Oryzias latipes: one gene and its partners. The protein of the gene in region 1 interacts with the protein of each later gene in a pairwise test. Links are inferred from orthologs where the notes say so. Each region holds a gene or a part of one and is shown in the gene's direction. Other genes may lie near its edges. The genes, in order: fragile X mental retardation syndrome-related protein 1, zmat2, rabac1, pts, necab2, c17h1orf35 and paf1.

Evidence for each region.
Region 2: the proteins of fragile X mental retardation syndrome-related protein 1 (region 1) and zmat2 interact in binary tests that used the Homo sapiens proteins (3 or more experiments, as listed by UniProt). The two-hybrid records come from large-scale screens. The link is inferred for Oryzias latipes from reciprocal best matches to the Homo sapiens genes FXR2 and ZMAT2.
Region 3: the proteins of fragile X mental retardation syndrome-related protein 1 (region 1) and rabac1 interact in binary tests that used the Homo sapiens proteins (3 or more experiments, as listed by UniProt). The two-hybrid records come from large-scale screens. The link is inferred for Oryzias latipes from reciprocal best matches to the Homo sapiens genes FXR2 and RABAC1.
Region 4: the proteins of fragile X mental retardation syndrome-related protein 1 (region 1) and pts interact in binary tests that used the Homo sapiens proteins (3 or more experiments, as listed by UniProt). The two-hybrid records come from large-scale screens. The link is inferred for Oryzias latipes from reciprocal best matches to the Homo sapiens genes FXR2 and PTS.
Region 5: the proteins of fragile X mental retardation syndrome-related protein 1 (region 1) and necab2 interact in a two-hybrid assay, tested with the Homo sapiens proteins (2 studies listed by BioGRID and IntAct). The link is inferred for Oryzias latipes from reciprocal best matches to the Homo sapiens genes FXR2 and NECAB2.
Region 6: the proteins of fragile X mental retardation syndrome-related protein 1 (region 1) and c17h1orf35 interact in binary tests that used the Homo sapiens proteins (3 or more experiments, as listed by UniProt). The two-hybrid records come from large-scale screens. The link is inferred for Oryzias latipes from reciprocal best matches to the Homo sapiens genes FXR2 and C1orf35.
Region 7: the proteins of fragile X mental retardation syndrome-related protein 1 (region 1) and paf1 interact in binary tests that used the Homo sapiens proteins (3 or more experiments, as listed by UniProt). The two-hybrid records come from large-scale screens. The link is inferred for Oryzias latipes from reciprocal best matches to the Homo sapiens genes FXR2 and PAF1.

Annotation. Positions count from the first base shown.
Region 1 is NC_019876.2:28,860,591-28,864,090, forward strand, and holds part of fragile X mental retardation syndrome-related protein 1, read left to right. Parts: coding exon 1-72; intron 73-145; coding exon 146-262; intron 263-381; coding exon 382-552; intron 553-627; coding exon 628-706; intron 707-812; coding exon 813-973; intron 974-1,174; coding exon 1,175-1,261; intron 1,262-3,500. UniProt on the Homo sapiens protein: mRNA-binding protein that acts as a regulator of mRNAs translation and/or stability, and which is required for adult hippocampal neurogenesis. Specifically binds to AU-rich elements (AREs) in the 3'-UTR of target mRNAs.
Region 2 is NC_019872.2:3,288,058-3,292,231, reverse strand, and holds the start of zmat2 (zinc finger matrin-type protein 2), read left to right. Parts: upstream 1-1,374; 5' UTR 1,375-1,445; coding exon 1,446-1,463; intron 1,464-2,851; coding exon 2,852-2,951; intron 2,952-3,036; coding exon 3,037-3,160; intron 3,161-3,285; coding exon 3,286-3,359; intron 3,360-4,174. UniProt on the Homo sapiens protein: Involved in pre-mRNA splicing as a component of the spliceosome.
Region 3 is NC_019874.2:20,935,573-20,939,790, reverse strand, and holds the start of rabac1 (prenylated Rab acceptor protein 1), read left to right. Parts: upstream 1-1,418; 5' UTR 1,419-1,474; intron 1,475-1,688; 5' UTR 1,689-1,753; exon of another isoform or gene 1,754-1,801; intron 1,802-3,036; 5' UTR 3,037-3,050; coding exon 3,051-3,172; intron 3,173-3,550; coding exon 3,551-3,763; intron 3,764-3,938; coding exon 3,939-4,036; intron 4,037-4,191; coding exon 4,192-4,218. Other genes in the region: dedd2 (DNA-binding death effector domain-containing protein 2), read right to left, coding at 1-72. UniProt on the Homo sapiens protein: General Rab protein regulator required for vesicle formation from the Golgi complex. May control vesicle docking and fusion by mediating the action of Rab GTPases to the SNARE complexes.
Region 4 is NC_019877.2:21,056,526-21,058,948, reverse strand, and holds the end of pts (6-pyruvoyl tetrahydrobiopterin synthase), read left to right. Parts: intron 1-507; coding exon 508-587; intron 588-662; coding exon 663-685; intron 686-756; coding exon 757-813; intron 814-907; coding exon 908-978; intron 979-1,062; coding exon 1,063-1,186; 3' UTR 1,187-1,923; downstream 1,924-2,423. UniProt on the Homo sapiens protein: Involved in the biosynthesis of tetrahydrobiopterin, an essential cofactor of aromatic amino acid hydroxylases. Catalyzes the transformation of 7,8-dihydroneopterin triphosphate into 6-pyruvoyl tetrahydropterin.
Region 5 is NC_019864.2:24,684,458-24,688,747, reverse strand, and holds the start of necab2 (N-terminal EF-hand calcium-binding protein 2), read left to right. Parts: upstream 1-1,490; 5' UTR 1,491-1,536; coding exon 1,537-1,863; intron 1,864-4,290. Other genes in the region: hydin (hydrocephalus-inducing protein homolog), read left to right, coding at 16-297, 565-765. UniProt on the Homo sapiens protein: May act as a signaling scaffold protein that senses intracellular calcium.
Region 6 is NC_019875.2:27,890,663-27,894,666, forward strand, and holds the start of c17h1orf35 (multiple myeloma tumor-associated protein 2), read left to right. Parts: upstream 1-1,204; 5' UTR 1,205-1,659; coding exon 1,660-1,756; intron 1,757-1,874; coding exon of another isoform or gene 1,875-1,896; exon of another isoform or gene 1,897-2,196; intron 2,197-2,841; exon of another isoform or gene 2,842-2,875; coding exon 2,876-3,026; intron 3,027-3,117; coding exon 3,118-3,163; intron 3,164-3,239; coding exon 3,240-3,322; intron 3,323-3,691; coding exon 3,692-3,764; intron 3,765-4,004. Other genes in the region: guanylate kinase, read right to left, coding at 1,064-1,097.
Region 7 is NC_019871.2:11,070,354-11,073,451, forward strand, and holds the end of paf1 (RNA polymerase II-associated factor 1 homolog), read left to right. Parts: intron 1-415; coding exon 416-484; intron 485-683; coding exon 684-787; intron 788-854; coding exon 855-971; intron 972-1,053; coding exon 1,054-1,182; intron 1,183-1,358; coding exon 1,359-1,464; intron 1,465-1,610; coding exon 1,611-1,689; intron 1,690-1,827; coding exon 1,828-2,258; 3' UTR 2,259-2,598; downstream 2,599-3,098. Other genes in the region: glia maturation factor gamma, read right to left, coding at 2,851-2,922. UniProt on the Homo sapiens protein: Component of the PAF1 complex (PAF1C) which has multiple functions during transcription by RNA polymerase II and is implicated in regulation of development and maintenance of embryonic stem cell pluripotency.

The DNA of each region.
Region 1 (3,500 bases):
AAAGACTTCAGGAAAGCCATCGGAGCAAACTGCATCTTCTACAGCGCGCCAACGCACGAGCTCATCGTGTTGGTGAGTTCTGCCGGCGAACGCTCGGCGGCCCGTCTCGCCTCCGTTCCTCTGCCAAACCTCTTTGTCTCGGCAGTCGACCAACGAGACGACGGTGAAGCGGGCCACTCTCCTGAGCGACATGCATTTCCGTAGCATCCGCACCAAGCTCATCCTAATGTCGCGAAACGAGGAGGCCACCAAACATTTGGAGGTAAACCCCCCTTTACCCCCCATCCCAGTCAGTCTTTCAGCCTCCCGCTGGGGCAGTCGACCCGGGACGGTCAGCCGGGACAGAAATGACTCTATTGTGTGCCGTCCGCCTTTTTCCAGACCAGTAAACAGCTAGCAGCCGCGTACCAAGAGGAGGTCAGAGTCCGAGAGGACCTGATGGGCCTCGCCATCGGGTCTCACGGCGCCAACATCCAGCAAGCGAGGAAAGTTCCTGGTGTCACGGCCATCGAGCTGGAGGAGGAGAGCTGCACGTTCAGGATCTACGGAGAGGTAAGCCCCATTCCGGAGGAAATCGGGGCTCATTTGTCCCGGTGAGGGGCGTCATCTCCGTCTGCTGTGCCACAGACCCCCGAGGCGGTGAAACAGGCCCGAGAGTATCTGGAGTTTAAAGAAGACTACTTCCAGGTGCCCAGGAACCTTGTAGGTGAGTGAGCGCCATGTTGGTCGGACTAGAGGCGGGTTTACCGGTCACCTCCGCTCGTCCCGCACGGATGGTCACGACGGCTTCGGCCCCTATCTCTGCCACACAGGCAAAGTCATCGGAAAGAACGGCAAAGTCATCCAGGAAATCGTTGACAAGTCGGGCGTGGTCCGAGTCCGGATCGAGGGAGACAACGACAAAAAGCTTCCCCGGGAGGAGGTAGGCAGGCAGGGGGCCGGCAGAGACGACACTGCCGGCGGCGGCAAAGAGGTGAATGCACCGACCGACCGGCCTCCTAATCGCTGCTCTCCACTCAAAAAGCTCTGTGGCTGCAGAGAGTTTTTGTGTTTTTGTGCTGTGTGTTTCGGCGCCGTCCCATCCTGCTGCCGACCAGCCGTCCGATCGGCTTTGCTGTCTGTGACGCGTCGGCGTTTCTCGCTTTTACGGAGGCTCTGCTTTCTGCTCCATCAGGGGATGGTGCCCTTCGTGTTTGTGGGAACCAAGGAGAACATCAGCAACGCCCAGGCTCTGCTGGAGTACCACGTCTCCTACCTCCAGGTGGGTTCAGTTTGCCCCAGAAGAGGGCACCGCTGCCACCGCTTTAGCCACATTTACCCCATTTATACCCCACGGTTCAACACACGGCTCTGGCGGCGATGCCATATGTGAAAGCTGCTGAGAGAGCCTCATTTTGCCCTGACCTCATGTGCTTTTATTAATAGCCCCCCTCAGGGGGGTGGGGGTGAAGGGTACACCGGAGTATAGATTACCAGCTATCTGGACCCTTTAAAAATAACATCAGGCCCCCTGCCCTGCCTCTCCTCCTTCGCACCTCCCCTGAGCTTCAGCTGTCATTGGTGGAGTCAGCTGTCATACTGTGAAGCAGGACCCCCACCACCCCCACCCCCACCCCCGCCAAGAAGCTGCCCCCGTCCACCGCTGCCATAAAACCCTGCTGCTCACTTCACTCATCTGAAGACACGTGAATCTAAAGACAAAACCACAACCCCAAATGACAGAAGTGCTCCCTGTAACCGTCTTTTAAGCCCATTTGTGGGAGGGGCTACAAGGTCACGTGTCATCCTCAGACAACCAGCAATGTAAACATCCGAGCTGCTTCTCCATACAAACAAAATTCATTTTTCTCTCTATTCATTCATTATTATTCCTTTATCATTCATTCAGTCAGCAGTGACGTCAGAAAAGTAACGGTTCTCAGCTCACTGAGTCTGAGCGTCAGTCTTTACCGACACCTAGTGGTAGAAAGGTGAACTGCATGGCTTGTTTTCTGACCCGTCTCACTGCATTTTTGCAGCGCTGCATTGTTGTGCTGCAACGTTTTGGTAAAGGTTGTTTTAAGCTGTCGTCGTTTTCTGTGATAATTTCAACTACAGGCAATAAGTGGACAGACGCTTTTTAAAGCATTTCTTACCCGGTTAACAAAAGTGCGGTTTTACTAGAAATTCACTGGTTTGATGAAATTCCTTTTTAAACTCTAACTTATGTAAAAACAAAACAAACCTTTTTTTGTCAGGTTTGTGCTGGAGCCTTGGTAAAACTTGGAACACTTGTATGCCAGCAGCATTCTTAATACAATATGCACAAAAATGACATATTACATTTATGTGAAAAAGTTATAGTTTCACCAACTGAAATTTATTGATTAAAAAATGTTTTAGTACCAGGAAAGCAAGGACTTTCGGTTCAGTTTTATTTAAATTTGAGGATTTCTCTTAACTGTAGCCTTGATTCCTTTTTCTGTTGGGATTTCACATTTAATCTGAACTTCTATTTTCTTTGTGTTCTTTGTGTCTAAAATTGAATTAATCATCAACACGTCATTGCTAGAAAACAGCTGTTTCAGTTCAATCACTTTGACTAAACTCTTGTATTTTCGTCTGTGAACAGAACAGATCTGAATCCGAATACTTAACTGAATAAATTATATATTTATTGTCCGTATTTCCTCGTCTTTATCAGCATCGTTAGTCGACTCTTGACTGCGATGACTTGTGTGGCTTAAAAAAAATATTACCAATAGAACCTGAACTTTGTTTTGTTTTTTTAACCCAGTAATGGGAAATTCACGTACACAGTAAATCCACACATAAGATAAATGTTCACACACTTGTAAATTCATGTTTACAGACTGGATAAACTCACATCTTCATAGGTTATTTCACTGCAATCACAAAGTCAGGTTTACAGACGGTAAACCCGCATTTACAGACGGTAAACTCGCGTTTAAATGCGGTAAACTCGCGTTTACAGACGGTTAACCCGCGTTTACAGACGGTAAACCCGCGTTTACAGACGGTAAACCCGCGTCTACAGACGGTAAACTCGCATGTACAGACGGTAAACTCGCGTCTACAGACGGTAAACTCGCGTCTACAGACGGTAAACTCGCGTCTACAGACGGTAAACTTGCGTCTACAGACGGTAAACTCGCATGTACAGACGGTAAACTCGCGTCTACAGACGGTAAACTCGCGTCTACAGACGGTAAACTCGCCTCTACAGACGGTAAACCCGCGTCTACAGACGGTAAACCCGCGTCTACAGACGGTAAACCCGCGTCTACAGACGGTAAACTCGCGTCTACAGACGGTAAACTCGCGTCTACAGACGGTAAATTCGCGTCTACAGACGGTAAACTCGCGTCTACAGACGGTAAATTCGCGTCTACAGACGGTAAACTCGCGTCTACAGACGGTAAACTCGCGTCTACAGACGGTAAATTCGCGTCTACAGACGGTAAACTCGCGTCTACAGACGGTAAACTCGCGTCTACAGA
Region 2 (4,174 bases), on another chromosome or scaffold:
TCGCTAGAGGAGACACGCCCGCTTGGGAAGCCTGGCCGACGGTGGCGGAACGCAACGCCATCTTGGTGAGGTCAACGACGCCTACATGACAATGATTTCTTTAGCCTTTGGTAGCATCTAAGTAGCTTTTATATAATTTATATTTATTCAAATTTCTATATATTTATACATATAAATAAACACATGATAAATGTATATAATTTTTATATATATACATCATTTGATGCTTTTAAATAAGAGAAACAGTCAGCTTTAAAAGTTCAAACTTTAATGAAAAATGCATTGTTTTTAATTTTTAAACATTTCCAAGTTTTAGACCTCTTTGACATGTAATTGAAATTATTTAGAAAAGCCCAACAATAAGTCAATAATAATAATAAATAATAACAATATATAAATAATAAGTCAATAATAATAATAAATAACAAATATAAATAATAAGTCAATAATAATAATAATTAATAACAATATATAAATAAGTCAATAATAATAATAATAATAATAATAATAATAATAATAATAATAATAATAATAATAATAATAATAATGAATCAATAAATAATAATAATAATAAATCAATAGTAAGTCAATAATAATATTGAATGATAAAAATAAATCAATAATAGGTAAATAATAATAAATGATAATAATAAATCAATAATAAGTCAACAAAAAGTCCAAAAGTCAACAACAGATTTTCCCCTTTAAAAAAACAAAGAAAAGAAATAGATTTACCTCCTGATTCATGTTAGTGATAAATTTGTGTGACACAGTTGGTTTAGTGTCGGGTTTCAAGCTAACAGTCTGGCCAGTCTCATCAAAATCTGTTTCCTCAAATTGTTTTGAACATAGCCAGACTGTATTACTAGTTGGTACCACAGTGATCCATCTGGGTTAGCTCTTTTTATTGCTAAGGCCCACTTTTTCCTTAAGTCTGAATCCATTGGAAACCTGCAATAAAATTTCAGTCACTGAGTCAGAAATGTATAAATCTCTATTACTATAATAGCCTAGTATAATGTATACAGGTTTAACACAATAAAGTTTACATTTATATCGACAGCAAATTATACGTACATCATGCCTACATGTTGATAATCGCCCTGCAGCATCATGCATGAAAACATGTGTATGATTAATGATGCCCCTGCAGCATTAAAAGAAAAAAATATATAATACTTACCTGTGAAATGTTATGCCTTCCTCCTTCGTGGACTCATTTCTCTGATTTTGGCAGTTGAAACCCGAAAAATGAACTGGTATTTTGCAAGAAATGTGTTCACATGCATGCACTACAGCAGTAATTTGACCTCACCAAGATGGCGATGCTCTCCCCCCTTGAGGAATCACGTGATGTCTCCTCTACCGATAGAACTAAATTTAGACAGGAAACTAGCAATGACGAGCTGCAACATCCGGTGACGTATTTTCCGTAGGTAAACAAGATGGCGTCCGGCAGTGGGGTGAGTTTCCAAGCAGAATTTCTCTGCCCCTGTTTGTTGTAATACAGTTTAATTCAATAAACAAGATTAAAATTCTTCACTTTATATTTGGTACCGTGGAGGCGTTTTGACTGTAACCGTTACAGACATCAGCTGCTGCCGTTAGAAGCGCGGCCTCGGACTAGCAGCGGCTAACTCGCTCTGACGCTTGGGTACTTTATTTGCAGAATTTTACGGCCCTTTTTAAAAAAAAAAAAAATTAGTACCAAAAACGTTTTGACTCAACCGCCGTTAGTTTTTATCTTTAAAGGACTAATTCAAAGGTGTAACGAATTCCGGTGTGGCAAAATAAAAGCTCTTGAAGTTTATTTCGTAAAGCCGACTGTGATGATAATAAATGAAACTGTAATAATAAGGATAATGTCCTTTTTGGTTTTTGCAAATATGAAACAATGTTTCTGTTGCTATATTATAAAATTTATAAACCCACCCCTGTTGAAAATGTTTACTTTGATAATATGAATGAAAGGGAAGAGCTGTCGATCAATACAGACCATGAATTTCTGCTTTTTTTTTTTTTTTTTGGATGCTGGTGTGCCGCGGGATCTTTTTCAGGGTTAAAGTGTGCCGTGGCTCAAAAAAGGTTGAAAAACACTGGTCTAGAGTGACTTAGGGTTTCCTGTCCTGTAAGCACAGCTCCACCAGCAGGCGTATCCCCCTGGAGCCTGACGGCACCATGCATTTGGAGAGCTGATCAGTTTCAGGCTGCAGCTGCAGCCAGGATCAGGCTGTTGAACGGAGATTTCTGAAAAATCTAATGTTCATTATGAAGGATCTCTTTGGACTCATCTGTTTATCCAACATGGATGCTTCCCGTCAGCTGGATGTTCGGCCTGAGCCCTCCCCTTATCTCGGGTCACGGAGTAGGAACAGCCCTTTTCCCAAACACCATTAAATACGAGCAGCAGCATGGCTCACGCATAAATCATGGGTCACACGTTCCCCATGATTTGTGCGTTCATCCATACCTCTCTGAGCTTTTGGAATCTCGGTTAAGCTCATATCTTTCCCTGGAGGGACAGAGATCCAGGAGGAACCTCTGGGAAGAGCCAGCTCCTCCTGTTTGAGCTTGGAAGGTGCACAAGGCGTCAGCTCTGACAGTCCAACAGGCATCTTCACCGTCTGCATTTAAACATTCTTCTGACGAAGCATGAGGCTTTCCTGCTTTTGTTCCTTCTCTGTTGTTGTGTCTCTGTGGTTCTGTTTTAGAGTTTTATCAATGAAGTTGAGTTGAGAAGCTGTTGCTCTTTTGTCAGGAGGAGTAAAAGCTCCTCGTCTTCATCAGCTGAATGTTTGTTGAGATGTGAAGATAATCGAGGCGCTCTGAGTCATCTTCTCGTGTCTTCCAGTCCAGCAAGAACGACTTCCGGCGGAAATGGGACAAGGACGAGTACGAGAATCTCGCTCAGAAGCGGCTGAACGAGGAGCGCGAGCGGGAGCTCAGGGATGGTGAGGGCAGCGCTCTCCGTTCTTTGGGGACCCTTGGGGGTCAATCGCTTATCACCCCTGACGCATGACCTGTTGGCTCTTTCAGGAAAACCTGTCCCTCCCGTCAAGCGGGAGCTCCTGCGGCACAGAGACTACAAAGTGGATCTGGAGTCCAAACTGGGGAAAACTATTGTCATCACCAAGACCACCCCTCAGGCGGAGATGGGCGGGTGAGTTCCTGACGGCTTTGGGTTTGGAAAAATGGAAAACTGAAACTCTTTGAACCAATAAGAAAAAGTTGTGGAGCAGAAACGGACAGGTCTGGGTTCTGGTTCCGACATATTTTTTTTTTCAGATATTACTGCAATGTTTGTGACTGTGTGGTCAAAGACTCCATCAACTTTCTGGATCACATCAACGGCAAGAAACGTAAGTACACCTGTGCTTTAGGGAGGGGCCAAGAGCGCAGATGTAACGTGGATCATTTTATACAGTCAGGTCCATAAATAATGGGACAGCGACACAATTCCAACATGTTTGACTCTATATGCCACCAAAATGGATTTGAAATAAAACGAACAAGATGTGCTTTAACTGCAGACTGTCAGCTTTAATTTGTGGGTATTTCCATCCAGATCAGGTGAACTGTGTAGGAATTACAACAGTTTGCATCTGTGCCTCCCACTTGTTAAGGAACCAAAAGTAATGGTCAGAACAATAATCATAAATCAGACATTTACTTTTTAATACTTGGTTGCAAATCCTTTGCAGTCAATTCCAGCATGAAGTCTGGAACTCACAGACATCTCCAGACGCTGGGTTTCATCCCTGGTGATGCTCTGCCAGGCCTCCAATGCATCGGTCTTCAGTTCCTGCTTGTTGTTGGGGCATTTTACCTTCAGTTTTGTCTTCAGCAAGTGAAACATTGCATAACATTCCACTTCTTTCCCTTAAGAAGGCCTTTAGTTGCGGTTGCAGTTTGCTTTGGGTCATGGTCCATCTGCACTGTGAAGCGCCGTCCACTGAAGCATTTGGCTGATCATGAGCCCAAAAGCCTTCAGAATTCATCCTACTGCTTTTGTCAGCGTTCACATCATCAATAGATAGAAGAGAACAGTTCCATTAGCAGGCATACATGCCCACGCCATGACAATACCACCACCATGCTTCACTGATGAGGTGGTATGCTTAGGATCATGAGCAGTTCCTTTCCTTCTCCATACTCTGGTAGAGGTTGATCTTAG
Region 3 (4,218 bases), on another chromosome or scaffold:
GTTAAGGCACTCTGCTTCATCCCAGTATAAGGAATTCTTCAGTGTGCATTCAGGATAATTCATTGAAGCCATGGTTTACCCCTTTTTTCCAAGTTTCCCACTCAAATAAAACTGTGGAGTTTAGGGGAAAAAGAAAACAAACACAAAAAAATTACTTTAACCATGTTTATGTTTGAAACTTGAAACCAAACAAATGGTATCAGGTTCCTTAATTAATAATTTCATTTAAAAAACGTAACAATTTGAAGGCCCCACTCCGATCATCTTTTAAAATATTTTCAAAGCGTTCCCCGTGTTGTTTTCTAGGAAGGTTTCTGCATAGCGGCAGGAGTTAATTAGAAATTAACCCCCCAGAGTCGTGGGCAGGACTGCTGGCATGGAGTTAGCCCCCCCTTACCACCATCCCTTTACACACTCGCTTACAGCCCCTCACAATCACAACTTCCACTGCACATTAGTGGTGCAACAAAAATTGTGAACAATATTGGAGCTATCCAACCGTACAGTTTTGAGCCAGATGGCAGCTCAGACGAGGAAAATGAAGCCCAAATGTGTCAGAATGAAGCATCAGAATGGAGCAGTGAGGGAGCTTGGTTGGTGTAGTAGCTTCTACGTCACACTTACACGTTTTTTTGCAACAGCTTTTTGCGTCTAATTCACATCAGTTTGCATAAAGAAATACTCAGAAATGCAATTCTAAGCTAAATTTTCATTTTCATCGGAGTGGGTATTTTAATTGTAGCTAGTAGTTGTCATGTTAAGTCTTTGTGTGTACATTGTGTGCCACAAACGAACACTCACTATTTAAGATTTTCTTCAAACTTGCAAGCAGCTACCACCTATAATGAAATGCATCGAGATGTGTTTAATTACTGTCATATATGCCTAGCTACAATTGCTAATGTTATCTTTACCGACTCGGTACCGTTCCTCTGAACAGAGTTATGTAATCAGTAGGGTGGGGGACAACACATACAAAACACACAGCTCTTCAATTGTTCGATTAAAAACACACACACAGGAGCTCGTTGGCAGTTATACTTCACGTAACACCACGCAAAATTAGCAGAAAAACAATTCTAGAGACAAATAAGACGGTCTATTGTTTGTTTCAACGACGGTCGGTGCGACGACATGATGATGAATCCCGCTGAACTTATTAGTCTAGCAGACGCTAAGGCGTCAACTAATACAGCGTAACGTTAAACACGCGCCTTTAAAACACTATTAGGTTACATTTTCCACAAAGAGAATATTCCTAGAGTGCATTAGACCTCACCTTTCAGCCGCGATAGCTTGCCTGACGCTGGATGATCTAGCAACTTCCACAATGCAACGTGCGACGTGACAGTGGCTAGACGTGAGTCGTAAATTGACCAATCACAGCTCTCGGGCTGGGTTTCATAACGTAAGGTCACGTTTTTGCCACACTTAACATACCGATTGTTCCCAGATTGTTCCTAAAAGAATCAAGGTAGTAATCTCTGTCACTTTGGCACTAAAAATGTTTTTTGATTTCTTGTCGACTTCAAAGTTAAATAGAGGAATGAATAAAATATTTTTATATGGTTAAATGTAAGGGAAAAAATAACATCATAGACTGGGGAGTTCTTTGGTGCAACCAGCAGGGGGCAGTGTGCGGCATTGGTGTTGTAGGAAGTTCTTTTCTTCTTCTTCTTCTTCTTCAGCCACATCACATCCGTGAGGACCAACAGCAACAAAACAACTTGGCTTTTTATCCATAACTTGGTCTGTAAGTATCTACATCGTCTGTAGGTTTGACATTTGACACATCACGAAGGTAAAATCTTATGTCTTTTCATTTCAATGTTTATAAATTACTGTGATCTTCGTACAATCAGTTTGATTTAACATGAGACACGAAGAAGTAGGTAGTATTCATTTTATAAAAGTTATTCCACTTATAATTCGACACATATGGACAAATTTGATCCTTAAAAGATTTTTACTTGCTCAAAATGTCGTTTTCTGGCTCAGTTCTCGGCCTTTGTCAGTGATGTGGCAGTGACCAAGCCCTGTTGACAAAAATTTTCCACTTACGAGATCCGCTCCTATGTTTCTGGCCAATCAGGAACAAGTTTGAATTAAAATCTAACCTCTATGCTCTTAAGAATAATGTGGAAACTAGTGATCATGTAGTTTTTCTTTTGTAGTTACTGCTGTTTCTCCATTTTAAACACATTTTATAAAATATATCAATTGTTATTTACCTTTAAAAAATAAAGTAAACAGGTTTTCCTTTCCTTTTTCCTTTTTTATTTATTTATTTAAGTTTGCTTTTGATGCACCTCGAGGAGTGTTACAAAAATCGTAAAGATTGTATGGTTGTATGGTGTATGGTGTTTTATTTCCCATTTAAACAGGGGAAAATAAAGAAGAATCCAGAAAAATTCTGACATGTTTTATAAAGGATACATATCGTTTGTACATTGAAAAATACGAGGAAAAATGCAAACTTCCAATAAGACAATCTTTTTTTTTCTTTTTTTTTTTTTTAAATTAACTTTAGAAGCAAAATGGAGAAACTAAACAAAACAAAATCTTTAAACCACTTGACAAACCCAATGATGTAACAACATCCCACATGCAAACTTGGCATGCACTTATCTGCATGTTAACAGTAAACAATAGGCAAAAAAGGAAAAGAAAAGGAGTCAGATCTTTCCTGAGCTTCTATCTTCCGTTCATTTGTTTACTCAGTTACCCATTGTAGTATTTGGGTATATGTCTTCAGTCATATGTATATATTTTCTATTTTATGATTTTCTATAATTATTATTAATACTTAGGCTCTTCATTAAACAACCTCAAACTCAAAAACGTTAATATTCTTTTATCCCACTTCATCTCTCGTAAAAAACATCTATCTCCATATAAAGGAAGGCCATTTTTCCACACAGTTTTTGGACTATTTATCTTGTGCTGATCCGAAGAAGGGGGAAAAAAAAGTATGTGAAGGAAAAATCTTAAGACTATTTCTTTTATTTTATTTATTCTATTTTCTTTTATTTTCAGGAGAAGGTTTGCAGATGCCATCTGGAGTACCAAAGGGAGAGAACTGTCAAGTGGACATGGACAGCAAGGCTGGAGATCTGTTTACGGCTGAAGATGCTCACCCAACTGGCACGGGTGGAGCTGGAATCCTTTCAAAGTACGAGTCAGTTTTGTTTTTTTTAAAAAGGAGTTTAGTGACCCAAACAACTTTCTTCGGTGATGGACGTGGACATTAAACAGCGTTTGTAGAAAAACCACAGCAATGGTGCTAAGGCTCTGTGAGTTACTGTCTTTACACATCCACTTTTGGGGGTGGAGTTAGTCCTAAATCCTCATCCTCCTGTTCTGTAGACTGTGCCTCATTACTTAAAATTTTTTTTTTTTTAAAGTTTTGTTTTGTCAAAGTTTCTAAGAATTTCCTTAATCAAACTACAAAATACTTTTTTGTTTTGCTCATATTGTCAAAAGTTGTAATGCATTGACTTTTTCCTTGAGAGTTTGTACGCTTTATTACCATTTTACCTTTATTTTGTAGGCTCTGGCTCCCTAAAGGCTTCTCTGCCAGCATGGCCAAGGAGTGGATTGATAGGCGCCGATTGTCCATTCGACCGTGGGCCAGTTTTGTGGACCAACGCAAGTTTTCAAAACCACGAAACTTCGGAGATGCATGCCAGAGAGTGGTGAAAAATGTGGAAACTTACAACAGCAACTACACCTTCATCTTCCTGGGTCTCATCCTGTACTGCATGTAGGTGTAAACCTGAGTTTGCTTTGGCCTTACCTCAAAACATTATTGAAGTTTTATGAAATAACAGATGCAACACTGACTGCACACACTAAGGCCACCGGGATTGAGAAAAGAAAAAGAAAAGATTGAATCAGTAACAGCATTATGAGCCTTTTTTTTTTTCTTTTCTTGTCAGTATAAGCTCCCCTATGCTACTGATTGCATTGGCTGTGTTTCTTGGTGCCTTCTACATAATCCACCTGAAGTCTCAAGAGTCCAGACTGGTTGTTCTTGGTAAGTAAAACAGAAAAACTGCTGTCCTTAACTTGCCTGAAAGTGAAAAAACTTTTTTTCAGAGTTTTTTTCAGCCATGCATGAAATGGGAGAATCTTATAGAAAGCCACAGAGAATTATGTTTTCATGTGTTTGCCAACTTTGTTTTTTTCCAGGCAAACAGCTTAATGTCCCTCATCAGA
Region 4 (2,423 bases), on another chromosome or scaffold:
ATCTGCTGTTAGGTTCCACGTGTTATAAACATCACGTCCTTTTTCTCCAACCCATAATAGTAGATAGCTGCACTTATCTGCCTCATCCTTTTCACGCAGAGGTCCGGTGAACATCAGCTCTGCATGCTGTCGGAATTTCCTCCACGCTTCTGGAAGGTTCGAGCAATCCCAGTCCATCCTCGGGATAGGAACGCCGTAGGACTCCATTTGTAGACAGGGTTGACAGAAAATCCGCTATTCTGACACCATGTAATGTTCTTGGTTAAAGAACTTTGATTTAAATTGAATAAATCACAATCCAGGCCGGGAAACTGTCACATTCACTGTTTTACTTCCACCATCTTGAATCTCACACCTATTCCACAAAATCCCGCGAGACTAGGTATCTTATCAAATCACAGTGACACCTAGTGGTCGGAATATTACAGTTTACATGTTCAAGCTATCATATGATTAAACTGAATCTAAACCCAAGAATCTGCCTCTTACTGTTTGAATCTGTTCCAGCGTTCACCTGAGCGACGAGGAGAACGCAAAGGTTTATGGGAAGTGCAACAACCCCAACGGTCATGGACACAACTACACAGGTCATTGTGGTTTCCTGTAAGCATGATGGATGTAAAGTCATGAGTCTGCTCACTGTGGTGTGCTTTCTTTCACAGTGGAGGTCACCGTCCGGGGAAAGGTGAGCATGTTGGAATAACACACAAGAGACCAATGAAACCCTGTTTCTGATTGACATCAAACCTGTTTCAGATTGACCGCGTGACCGGGATGGTCATGAACCTTACAGACCTGAAGAGGTGCATCGAGGTGACTCCATCTTTACCTGGCCGTCTTAAAATGTTCTTTTTAAAAGAACAAACTTCTTTTTAAGGAACTTTTTTTTGCCTGTTTCCACCTACAGGAGGTCATCATGATTCCTCTGGACCATAAAAACCTGGACAAGGACGTTCCTTACTTTGCCACTGTTGTGAGGTATGAAACTTTCCAAACTTTTTTAAACATCTTCTTTTATTTTCTTAGTAAGATTTCTTTGTCTTTGTGCTCCCGGATTCTCAGCACCACAGAAAACCTGGCTGTTTACATTTGGGACAACATGGTGAAGGTCCTTCCCCCCGGTCAGCTCTATGAGATCAAGATTCATGAGACGGATAAGAACATCGTCGTCTATCGGGGAGAGTAAACTCTGCTTTCGCCGCCGCAGAAGTGCTTCGGATCTGTTTGCTGACTCATCCCGGCTGCTAACTCGGGCAAAAAAAAAAAATCCTTTTTTAAAATTATTTTTTTTGAGATCCACATCATTTACATTCCAATAATTGTGACACAAACCCAATGTTTTATTTAGTAATTCTGCAAATACAGAAAATGAACTCTGTGTTTACATCAGTACTGAGGCAGGGGGCGCTGTGACTCACAGACAGAGTTCCTGCCTCTGTAGGTTTCCAAGATGGAAAACAATAAAGTATTTATTGATTCTGCATCTTCCTGTCAGTTTGCGGGACTCCATGATTGAGAACAGTTCGGTCCGGTGCTCATTTCTCTGATTTTTTTTTTTGTGTTCACAAATATTTACAAGTCTACAAAGACTTGTAGCCCAATCCAGGTCCTTTTTTTGGAGCGATCCGCAGAGGTAGTAGGGCTGCTATTGGTTCTTGTTTTAGACTGTTTCCCTCAAAGAGCTTTCTTTCACTGTCGATGACCTTTGTCTCCCTGTGACCAAAAGCCTCTGCTGAACATTGGATGAATGTAATTTTCTCTGGGCTCATCCCAGTCCTCTGTAATAGCGCTGCTTTTGAGTGCTGTTGAGCTTAAATGACCTGTTGAGCTCTCAAGCTTTTTCTGTCTTGTTCAGACGCCAATAGTTTCCATTTCTTTCTTTAAACCTGTCATTTCCGTTAATAAAAATGCTGTGATGTTGTGCTTCTGTAGTGTTCTTCAGTAGTCTTGATGCTTTTTTTCTGTGAAACTTGACAGTGCAGTTCTCATTTCTGCTTCTTTTGCTGTATTTGCTAATATGCTTCACTGTTAAAAAAAATGTAAAAGTGCGAAATCTACCTTCACATTCTTGTTAATTTAGAAAAAAATCAGGTTTTCTTATTGGAAAAAAGCTCGAGTCTTTATTTTTTTGTTTTGTATGTGTGGATAAAATATCGGTTACTGATGAAGTTCATTGATCATCTGATCATCTCCAGATATTGGACAGAAACGTGTGTTGGCGCTAATAGGTCACTAGGGGGCGCAGCTTCATTTCAAATCAAACTTCCCCAGCTTGGTTAACATTCAGGATCAGAAATTTTCACTGGTGTTTGTTTTTTATTCATACAAACAAGACAGTTTGTTTTAAAAATGAAATTGAAAACTCTTTAAATGTTTATTTTGTGCATAATTCAAATTACACAATGATCCCTAAAAAGCTGGGT
Region 5 (4,290 bases), on another chromosome or scaffold:
CTGTTTGCCTTTTAGATCGATAGTCCGGATTTCATCGTGACCAAAACTGTTGTTGCTGCTCCGGGCCTCCAGGTGGGGTCAGAGGTCAGCGTGGAGGTTTGCTTTGAGCCTCATCAGCTTGGCGAAGTGAAAACGGACCTCAGTCTGTCCTCTGGGATTCATGGAGAGTACATCTTTCCCTTACATGGGGTCTGCCTCCCCCCTAAAGCTCAGGGTCCACTCAGCATTAAGGCAGGTCACAGCATCACAATCCCCTTCAAGAACGTGTTCCTGCAAAGCATTACATTCACTGCTCAGGTAAAGAACAGGCAGACCTTGTAAAAGGAAGTCTTCATATTAAGAACTATGACCTGTTTACTTTCAATAGAAGATTTTTTTAAATTATTCATAAGGGCTGCAGCAGCACCCAGCTCATTTATATTTAGCACAGTGACTTACAAAGTGCTCCAACCCCACTTTACATCTAACTTTTCTATTGTTATGCTGCTTGAGTTGCTGGATTCCCAAATGAATATGCCTGTAAATGTAGTAACCTGAAACTGACTGGATGTTCTGCTGCTTTAGGTGGACAACCCCTGCTTTACTGTCAAAGGACCAGACAACATCAAACCAAAAAAGATTCACAACATCCAGGTTTCCTTTGAAGCTCCTGATGGAGAGCCTGGAAGGGAGGCCTGGTTCGGAAAGCTGACCGTTTCCAGCGAGCGCTGCGAGGGACACAGCAAGCCTTGCTCATGGGTCTTTTACCTGAAAGGATCCCAGTGATCATAAATAACCACAACAGGAAGCAGCTGATCCGTTTTTATTATTTAGTAACTGTTATATATGAATTTAATTAGAATGACGAAGCTGCAATACTTTAAAGCATAAACATTTTCTAAATGACTTAATAAATTCTACAAAGTCCTTCCTGTCGATGCACTCTCATTTCCACAAGGGGGCAGTAATGTCAAGTAATCTGATCAGAGTTCTGCTGCTTGTCTGATGGAGGAAAGACACATCATCCTCCACAGCTGTTTTGTCATTCTGTCAACTTTCCTGCAGGACCTCATTTGTCCTGATCTTCTTTTTGTTCCGTTAACTCTGGAAAAGGGCAGACCTGGTGGAGTCAGTCATTACTAAAGGTTAAATCTGTCACATCACTCATGCAGGACACCCTCTAATGAGAGGAGCTGCGTGAGGAAAAACTCTCTGATGCTCCTTCAGGGATGCAGAAATCCTCCCCCTGGAATACAGCCAAAGGACAGAAACTGTTTGCGGGATGAAACACCCACAAAATATTTTTTGAAAAGGAAAAAAAAAGTTCTGACGTGCATTTGAAATCAGCCACATAACGCATGATCTGCAAAAAAAACGCGCATGGAAAGTGAGAAGTTGAAGCTTCCACAAGGTTTTCTGTCTCCTGAGTGGGTTTGCAGGGAATGTGGGGTGGGTGTGTTTTGGGGTGGGTGTGTGATGTAAGGAGGGAAGTGGGGTGGGTGGGGAGCTCCTCTCTCTCCCCCATAGAGCGCAGCATGAGCGCTCCGCAGCAAAAGGATGTGCGAGCAGGCAGCGCGTTACTGTAGGGACGGAGTCCACAAACTGCTCAACAAAGAACAAGCCAAACTCCGCGCGCAGGAGAGCCGCGAGCAGCCCAAGCCTTCAGCCGGTCAGGACAGCGAGTCCGCGACGGCAGCGCAGTCCGGAAACAGCGGCGCCCAGCCCGGTGGAATCGACGGGCTCGTCCGCTGGATCGTCACCAAAATGAGCGACAACAAGAACATCTCCAGCCGGGAGTACGCCTCCAGCAAAGAGGAGGTGGCCGTGGCCCAGGAGCAGTTCTTTGCCCCGGAGCCACGGAGAGGCATCTCGGTCATTCTGGATGTAAGTATCAGGCTGCATGGGGGGGTTGGATGCGCAGGATCCAGGGAGCGGTGCGCGCCGTGCGCACTTACGCACAGACAAGAGCGAGGAGTGGAGACTTGGCAGGAGGTCTGCTGGTTATTTGACACTTTGGTGGGTGTCCGGGATGAGGCTGGCGCCTGAACTCTCCACTCTGTCTGCATCCTCCACCAAACCGCCTGAGCTGTATTCAGTTTATAAACTTCGAAACAGATTCCTTAAAACAACAACAAAAATCTATTCATCAGTCAGTTAGATGGTTCACTGATCCACTTTTGGCGCAATCTTTAATATAGGTCAGCTCATCAATACCCGCAGATCGTTTGTCTCCCCCTGAGATCTTCTAGTCCGGCCTTAATAGAAGACAAAACAAAAGAGAAACTAGATCAGCTTCTGCAGATGACCTGAATAAAGTTATGACCAGAGGGCCAATTCAAATTTCATGTCACATTATTCTAGATTTTCAAAAAGTTATTTCTTGAGAGAATCCCTACCAGCAAACTAAAATTGTGTGTTTGGATACATGAAAAGATTCCTGATTTCTCTCCTGTTTTTGTTGTTCATTATTTCTGTCGTTTTGTATTTATGCCTCTCAGTGACAGTCCGCTTTGATCTCTAAGCCTGCAACTCTTCCTTCTCTGCAGGATCTGACTTCAGCTTTGAATCATTTTAGCATTTTCTCTCCTTCTTTTGCACATCACCCCGAACTCTAGAATGTTAATGATTTTGCCATGTTCCACTCTTGCTGACCCCGTCATCATTATCATGGTGGAGAAGTGAACATTTGATTTGCACGCTCACACCTGCATCCAGCTGTCTTTTTTTCTCCTACGGTCTGCTCTTTTCTTCTTCCCCTCCTTTCCTCATTTGTCCTTTCCTCCTGTTTTCAGAGAAATCCGTTTTAATAAGGTTTCAGGCATCGTCCGGCTTTTTCCTGTTTATTCTTAATTTTAAAGAAATAGTTAAGCCCTCACAGTTTTGCTGGTCCTCTGTGCTGTGAGCCACCGCCTCCTTAACGCGACACTCTTTTCCAAGCTCCTCTGTTGCTGGCTCTTGTTTGTGGGGCTGAGTTGGCCCCATGGGTGCATTAGAGGAGCCGAACAATGCAGAGCTGCTTGTCATCTGAAGCACAGCTCAGTTTGGCACCAAGGTTTTGATCTGTTCTACAATGATGCCTCCAAGACTGCACATCTTATTTAGAGCTTTAGCTGCCATAATGCAAAAACCTCTTAATGAGTTTCACTGCAACAGAGGAAGGAAATAATTAAACATAAAACAGCTTTTATGCAAGTTTTTTCTGCAAAATCCAGAAAAAGGAAACATTTTGATGAGAGATTCCATCAACACCAGTACTGTTATTGACAGAAGTGACTAGAAAACGATCATATTCTCTCATTCATATTTAAATAAAACCAATAAATTATTAGCAGCTTGTCTGTTTTGTACCCTTTTAGACATTAGAGGATCACAAAAATCATCAACGAATGAAGGAAGTCTCCATTTAAGAAGCATTGAAGCTTTTTGCTGCAGTTCTGTCAATATTTGGGCTCATTTTTGCTTCTTTAGAACACACAGCTGTGATGCAGCAATACCTTGTCTCTTTGGTTACAGAATTCAGAAACAACACAGGGGTCCTTCTTACTGTATTGTTGTGTTTTTGCAGCTGATCCTGAATAGAAAAGTAAATAGGAAAAAAAAGATGACGCAGACAGACGAGCAGACAAGTTCTTACATTAAAAGTAAAAAATGCTGCAATCTGGATCTCGTCTTTATGAGCTGTCTTCTGTCCGACCTCCAGTTCCACATCCTTGTGTTTCTCTCCTTATCAGAAGTTCCAGTTCTGAGCCTTTCACTTCCAAACAGGTCAAAGCTTTTACTGCAGCTATAAATTAGCTCAATGTGGAGCATGCAGTGAGTCCTCATCAGTCTGGTGGACATCATCGGCTCTGTGCTGCACCTTATCCCTCAGCCTCAGTGTGAACTGACAAACAGAAAAGTCTGGGCACTGAATGTTGGCTGACCAGCCGCTAATTACAATCCAGATTCCCTATTTCTACACAGAATTAGTCACTCCTCGAAAAAAAAAAAAAATCACAACATTGCATGTGTTTTACCATCTGTCAGCTCTCTTCTCACTGTGGCAATGAGGGGTAAATCGACTTTCAGCATCATAATCTGAGGGTGTTAAAGTTGGATTTAAACAGAAATAGGTCCAAAGTGTTTGAGTTTTAATCCATACCTTTATTGGATTAAAACATTCCTTGGACAGACTAAATGTCTAAAAGCTTTCACCTACTTAAATCTGTAAATCTGTTGTATTTTCCATTACCCAGAAAGCACGTCAAAGTCCTTCTGGGAAATGGAAATATACTTTGGTTTTCCTTGAAGCTGTTCAGATAACACTCACAC
Region 6 (4,004 bases), on another chromosome or scaffold:
CTCCGTGAACCAGAAAGGCTGAGCGTCACTGTCAAATTCTATTGGACATTTTTTTAATCTACATTTCAGTTTACATGACAGTTTGGTTAAACACTGTTAACACATAACTAGTGATTTAACCAAATCAAAACACAACTTTCATTAATTCAATGAGAACATTTTACGTAAAAAATTGACAGAAAATGTTTGTTTTTTATATAAAATTGATTAAAATGAGATGTTATCAATCAATGTTAAGTACATGTTCTAAGAGAAGATCAATTGATTATCCTTAAGAAAACACACAGAAAATACACATGTATTGCATTACAGATGTCCTGTTTACTTGAATGTAGATATTATTGTGGCAAAGTAATAAACTGATTTTATCTCTTGGGTTTGACGGTTTTCTGTTAATTTATTTCTTTAGTATCTCACTGGTTGGTTAAAAATATAATATGTTAAATGTCTGTTGTGTCAAACTGCACCAATGTTGTTTTGCTCCGAATAAATACCATTTAAAAATGCTCAACAGATTATCAGACTTTTCAGTAAACCAAAACCTAAAAAATTGGTTCCAACTTAAATGTTTTTTTTTGTTTTTTTTTTAATATTGCAAGGTATGTAACATCTCACAGATATAAGCTTATATTCTAATTCTTCAAAATGCACATTTTTAGTGACAAATGGTAGAAAATGCATTAATTTGCATGAATAAGCAAACTGGATATCTTATAAATATTTTTAAAAAAGAAGAAGAAAAAAGAAAGACAATTTTGTTAGTGATGTAATTTTTCTCCCAAATTACATTTTACAAAGGGTTTCCTAATTTAAGTTGACATTAAACAAAATAGATGATACTGGACGTTTTTATGCTACTATCAAAAGTTGTATCATCCATCTAGGATTTATATGCATCCTGAAATAAAATAAAACACCGGTTGACTTCTTGGGCACCATCTTTTCCTGTAGCTCCGTGACAACAAAGTGTCTCCAGGAATGAATAGTGGTTCCGACACAGAGATGGGAAAAAGAGAACAGAACAGCAGAAGGAGGAAAGGAAGTCAAAAATCCTCATTCCTACCTGAAAACAGTCTGATAAAATGTCTCATGTACATCGGGAGGCAGGTTTTTCTGATTCTGCAGACGGTCCTCGGAGCATTTTCTGCCTCCGCCGCCCTTTTCCTCACCGCGAGACGCCTACGTCATCACTACGTACCCAAACACGTTACGTCCGCGCGCGCCACTGGACGCGACCAAATGAAATAAACAAAAGGAGCAGGAAATGCTCGTTAGTCGGGAAAAAAGTTGTATTGCTTCTATTTGCAGTAGTCAGATCTTTATTGCTGAGGATTACAAATCTACCGTTTTAAATTTTTTACTTAAATAAAAAAATTGTTTGTTGGGTCTTTGCAACTTTAAGCTGCGCGCGCGAGAGTCCAGCTTTAACGCTCTGCTCTTTGTCGCGTTGTTGGGTTGTTTGTTTGTTTGGAAGTTGCTGTCGAAACAAACGCAGCCGTGTGGGTTTCTTTCGTGGAAACTGGGAATCTAAACTTCCTGGATGAGTCCACGCTAACGGCCCGCACCGACCACGCAGCTCTGCTAACCAACGTAGCTGCTAGCTAGCTAGCTAAGTGTTACTTTTCCCCCCCGAATCTCCACTTTTTTGCCCTTTTGAAGATGTTTGGTTCATCGAGATCCGGAGGCATCCGTGGAGGCCAAGACCAGTTCAACTGGGATGAAGTGAAGGTCGATAAACACAGAGAGAATTATCTCGGTAAGTCCATAACGTGCAGTCGATTACGCTATCAGCGCGTGCCACACATCCAGGAAAGATTAGCTCCAGATGCTTTTAAACCCCGTGTGGCCCCCCTAAAATTAGGTTGTTTTCCTACCTTTTGTTATTGAATTCCTCATTACACAAGGCTTGGCTTGATCTAATAGCTTGATATCAATCCCGATTAATCTCCGTAAAGAAAGCAAAAACGTGCTGTCAATGCCTCCTCTGGTCGACACGTTCGTTGTCTCTGTGCCCTCGCCGCTGCCAGCGGGTCAGCATGCCCAGAGAGAGCTACGTAGTGATCACCACAGTAGTCGGGACCGAGAAACATGTAACAAAAGCAAATCGACAAGCTCTCATAGCTGCTTAGATTTCTGAATGTTGTCTGTGTAAAATATGAGCTAAAACCACAACCTTTCAGGTGCAAAGTCAAACAGAAATGAGGCTCAAAACACCCACCCTTAACATGGCAGGAGACTGTTGCCTTATGTGTGGATTGCCTAAATACTTGGAATTAAAAAAACAGTCTAACAACAAGACTGCACTTGTCTATAATGAGATATTCTAAAAGACAAAGTTTACTCAGCTGGAGGAAGTTTAAAACATTGATCTGATATCAATTTTACAGCTTATATTGCACACTTGTATATACTGTTTGTTTGTTTGCTTGTTTGATTTTATTATATTACAATGTTATCTTTACTACTTTTCCCTTCCTTACTGTTCTTGCACTGATGGTGATGCTTAAATCTCATTGTACTATGCACAATGACAATAAAGCCATTCTATTCTATTCTATTCTATTCTAATTTGATTCTTACACTTGAACCTTTATGGGGGAAAATGCAAAAGGATACATCTACTGGAGAAGTCTGGACTGCTAATATTTTCATTTAAATGTGTGTAACCATGATCATCTTTAAAAGTCAAATAGATTTATTGAAATGATTATTTGGTGCAAAACATTAAAACATCTAGATAAAAGAAAAAGTCTAAATATAAAGTATAACAATCCTGCATAATACATTTTGTATTCTGAATTTGTGGCATTTGAAATGTAGAATTTAAAGAAGAACCTTTACCTAAATAGTTTGACCTCTTCTGCGTTTTTTCCAGGAAACTCCTTGATGGCTCCCGTAGGACGATGGCAGAAAGGGAAAGATCTGACCTGGTATGCAAAGGACAAGAAAGGTGGTGCTCCTTTGTCCAAAGAAGAGGAGCTTGCTGCAGTCAGAGCTGCAGAGGAGGAGGCACTGATGGCTGCCCTGTACGTGCGACTTCCCATAAGCCATTTCCTGTACCTTCTTGAAGATTAGGACACAAAAAGTGATGCTTTGCGTTTCTTGTTCTGAACTTAGAGGCCATAAGAATATAAAGAGACAACCAACAGGGCTTACTAAAGAGGTATGGATACGTTGCTGGTCAATATTGGAAAAATTGCTGTCAAGTCCTGTAAGTTGAATTTGATTTTTTTTTTCAGGATCTTGTAGAGGTATGCCGGAGAGAAGAGGTTGATGGTGAAGAGAAGGATGTGGATCGTATCTCAGGTTTAGGAAGCTCAAGGTGAGATTATCTTCTTGTCTGTGTCATAAAACAGATTTTTTTTATGCAAAATGTTTGCTTTAGGAAAATTTCAACTTTTCTTTTTCTTATTATAAATGCAATTTGCTTGAACAAATGTACAGAAGTTATGTTTAATTGTCCAAATGACAAATGGGAGTTTGTTAATAGTTTTTTTTTTTCTAGTTTATACACTAAAATGAGTCAAATGATTTGTTAATCAGGTTGCTGGTGAATAATATTCTTGGATATTTCATGACTTTTCTTTGCAGTTTTAGGTTTGGCAGAATTCAACCTTCTGTTCAGAGGAGATAAGGTGACTGGCTGTCTGTGGTTTGTTTAAGTTGACTCCATCTTTATTTCCCTCTAAAGTGCAGGGTCACGAAAAATGGTGCTGTCCCAAAAGGAAAAGGAGGCGGCTAAAATGGGTCTGCAAATTTTTACAGTAAGTCGTCTTTCTACATCATCCATACTGCCATTTGGAAACATTATTGTATTAAAACAGCATTTTTTAATTGTCAAAAATTAGTAGTAAATATGTGTTTGATTTTTAATTTTTTAACTATTGACTTTATTAGCATTAGTTATTTAGCAATATTGACGAGGGTTGAGTATGGCAAAAAGAATGAGTCGATTCAGGACTATATGATTAAATATGAATCACTTAAACTTACAAATTTGTTTT
Region 7 (3,098 bases), on another chromosome or scaffold:
ATCAAGAAATGCAAATGAATACACACCAGTATGGTCTTGTTTAGCTTATTAAAATTGATTGTGTAGCTTAAGTTTTAGAGACTTGGATCAAATCTTTTTTTCAGTTACAGTACATGCAGAAATTCAGTTCTGATGTGTAACAGCATTGTAGAAATTGCAAGGGAATGCTAGAAAATTTGGTAAAGGTCACGCTGGTGTGTGTATATATGTGTGTGTGTGTGTGTGTGTGTGTATATATATATATATATATATATATATATATATATATATATATATATATATATATATATATATATATATATATATATATATATATATATATATATATATATATATATATATATATATATATATAAATATCTTGGTAAATCTAAAGATGTTTTTTTTTTTTTTTTTTTTTTCCTTTCTGCCACAGATCGCACAGCACTACAGTAAACCGAGAGTTACTCCTGTGGAGATATTGCCAGTTTTCCCTGACTTTAAAGTGAGTTTTACCACAAGATGAAATGCAACAGTTAATATTTTGGTAATCTCTTTTGAACATTTAAAATCACTTGCTGCAAAAGGAGAAACTAGAACAACTAATTAAATAAGATATGTGTATATATAGGGAAAAAAATAAGAAATGGTCTGTCCATGTTTATGTTCTTTTAATGATTTGTATGCATTGTGGCTTTCCTCAGATGTGGATCAACCCATGCGCTCAGGTCATCTTCGATTCTGATCCAGCTCCTAAAGACATATCTGCACCAGCAGGAGTGGAGATGATGTCCCAGGCGATGATTAGGTACATTCAGAGTTTTTATCCTGATGGTCTCTTTATGAAACATAAACAAACAATTGTTTTATGATAGAGGAATGATGGACGAGGAGGGGAATCAGTTTGTAGCCTACTTCCTGCCCCACGAGGAAACACTTCGCAAGCGTAAGAGAGACTCCGAGGAGGGAGTGGAATACATGGCGGATGATGTGTAAGTGGAAGAACGGCATTGTTAAAAAACATCTAGATGTTGTTCCAAAACAAGATCAATCTTGAGACTTTTTTCGTTTCAGTTACGACTACAAGATCGCGCGAGAATACAACTGGAATGTCAAAAACAAAGCCAGCAAAGGTTATGAGGAGAACTACTTCTTCATCTTCAGAGATGGAGATGGTGTTTATTACAACGAGCTGGAGACCAGGCGAGTAGAAAAATCTCAACAAATTCCTTTCCATATATTTTTAGTTAAATGTAAAACTTGTATCACTTGGCTGATGTAGAGAAAAAGTAGGGCAGGATCTTTGTTTTCCCAACAGGTTAGAGGTTCGATAAACAGTTCAGTACTTGTTTTTTCTTAACTTTAACTTTGACCTTTAGGGTGCGGTTGAGTAAGAGAAGAGCCAAGGCTGGAGCACAGTCCACAACAAATGCTGTGCTTGTTTGTAAGCACAGAGATATGAATGAGAAAGAGCTTGAAGCTCAGGTAAGGTCCTTGCTCCGTTTGTTTGTTTGTTTGTTTGTTTGTTTACACACACACATCTTTCAGAACAGCAGTTTATTGACAAAGGATCAGGATTTTTATGTTGCATGACACAAATCTCTTATGAATGATGTCGTCTTCATCATCAGGAGGCACGTAAAGCTCAGCTTGAGAACCATGAACCTGAAGATGAAGAGGAAGACCTGGACAAAGACATGCAGGACTCTGGTAAAGTTTCTTTTTTTTTTAATCATGCAAAGGATTCTGTAGTATTTTTTGTAACAACTGCTTTATTTTGAACTGTAGGAATTACTTCAGTTGCAATGTCAGTCATTTTTTTCATTGTTTTGTGTTTTTTTCTTTTAGGTGATGAAAAAGAGAAAGGAAGTGGCAGTGAGGCAGAGAACTCCGGCAGTGAATCTGAGAGGGAAGACGAAGAGCGGGAACAGAGCGCAGAGGAGGACGAGGACAACGAAGCCAGACGGAAAAGGCGGAGGAAGTCCAGTGGCAGTGCCAGCGAAAGCGGCGAAGAGAGGACCAGGGAGATGCGAGACGAGGAGGAGATCTTCGGCAGCGACGACGACAGCGATGACAACGAGCCCAAGAATTCGGCCAGAAGCAGCGGGGACGAAGGCAGCGATAGCGAGGAGGAAGGGCAGAACCGAAGGGGCACCAGGAGTCGCAGTGCCTCTCCAGCGCCCAGCAACCACAGCAGTGACCACTCCGAGGCGCAGGCTCAGAGTGGTAGCGGAAGCGAAAGAGCCTCCGACTCCAGTGATGCCAGTGACAGTGATTAAAACCTGCAGGCTGAAGAGCAAACCCTTTGTTCTCTGTGTGTTTGGGCTGATGGAGCTTATATGCATGTGTCCTTCCTCTGTCACCGAGCACAGTCGCAGAATTTGGCGCTGGAGCTCCATTAGTGTAGCTCCTCGCATCTTTACATAAGATTTTTTCTTGAATCCACTTTTTTATCCCTGAGATTTCACTTGGGTTACATTCATTCATTATCTGTTTGTACGCAAATCCTTTGTTGCTTGACCTTCAATGCAGCATAAATTTGTTCAATTTGATTTTGACAAACTGATTTCAACTCAGGCATTGAAACTGATAATAAATTACTGGTGACATTTTCCAAAAGTCTTGATTATTTTTTCTTTTTTTTGGAAAATACAACACAATCGAGCAGAACAGCTCATGACATCAATGACATTTGGTTTTAGTTCATTTGGTTTTAGATTTACAAGAACTTGACGACAAAAAAAGAAGAAAATATGAAGTTAAACACTTTAAAGGTGATGGAAAACAAAGTGGTTTAATCACTGATTTTAATTATGCAACAAATAAAAGTGGTAGTTGCGGTTGACAATGATGCTGCCAGACGATGCAGATTCAGCGAAAAAACGCCAGCTGGTTCTTCAGCCACTCTTCTGTCAAGTCATCGACATTTCTGGTTTCAAAGACCTTCCAGAGCAAAACAGTCACAAGTTAGGTTCATGCAACTGCACGTCAAACCAAGTGAAAATAGGAATTACATGTTATAGTTCTTGCAATTATACTTGATATTGCAAGAGTCAATTTGTTTAGCACATGAATGTTTCTTGGACTAAAAGAATAAAAGCTGAAATCTGAAAAAAAAA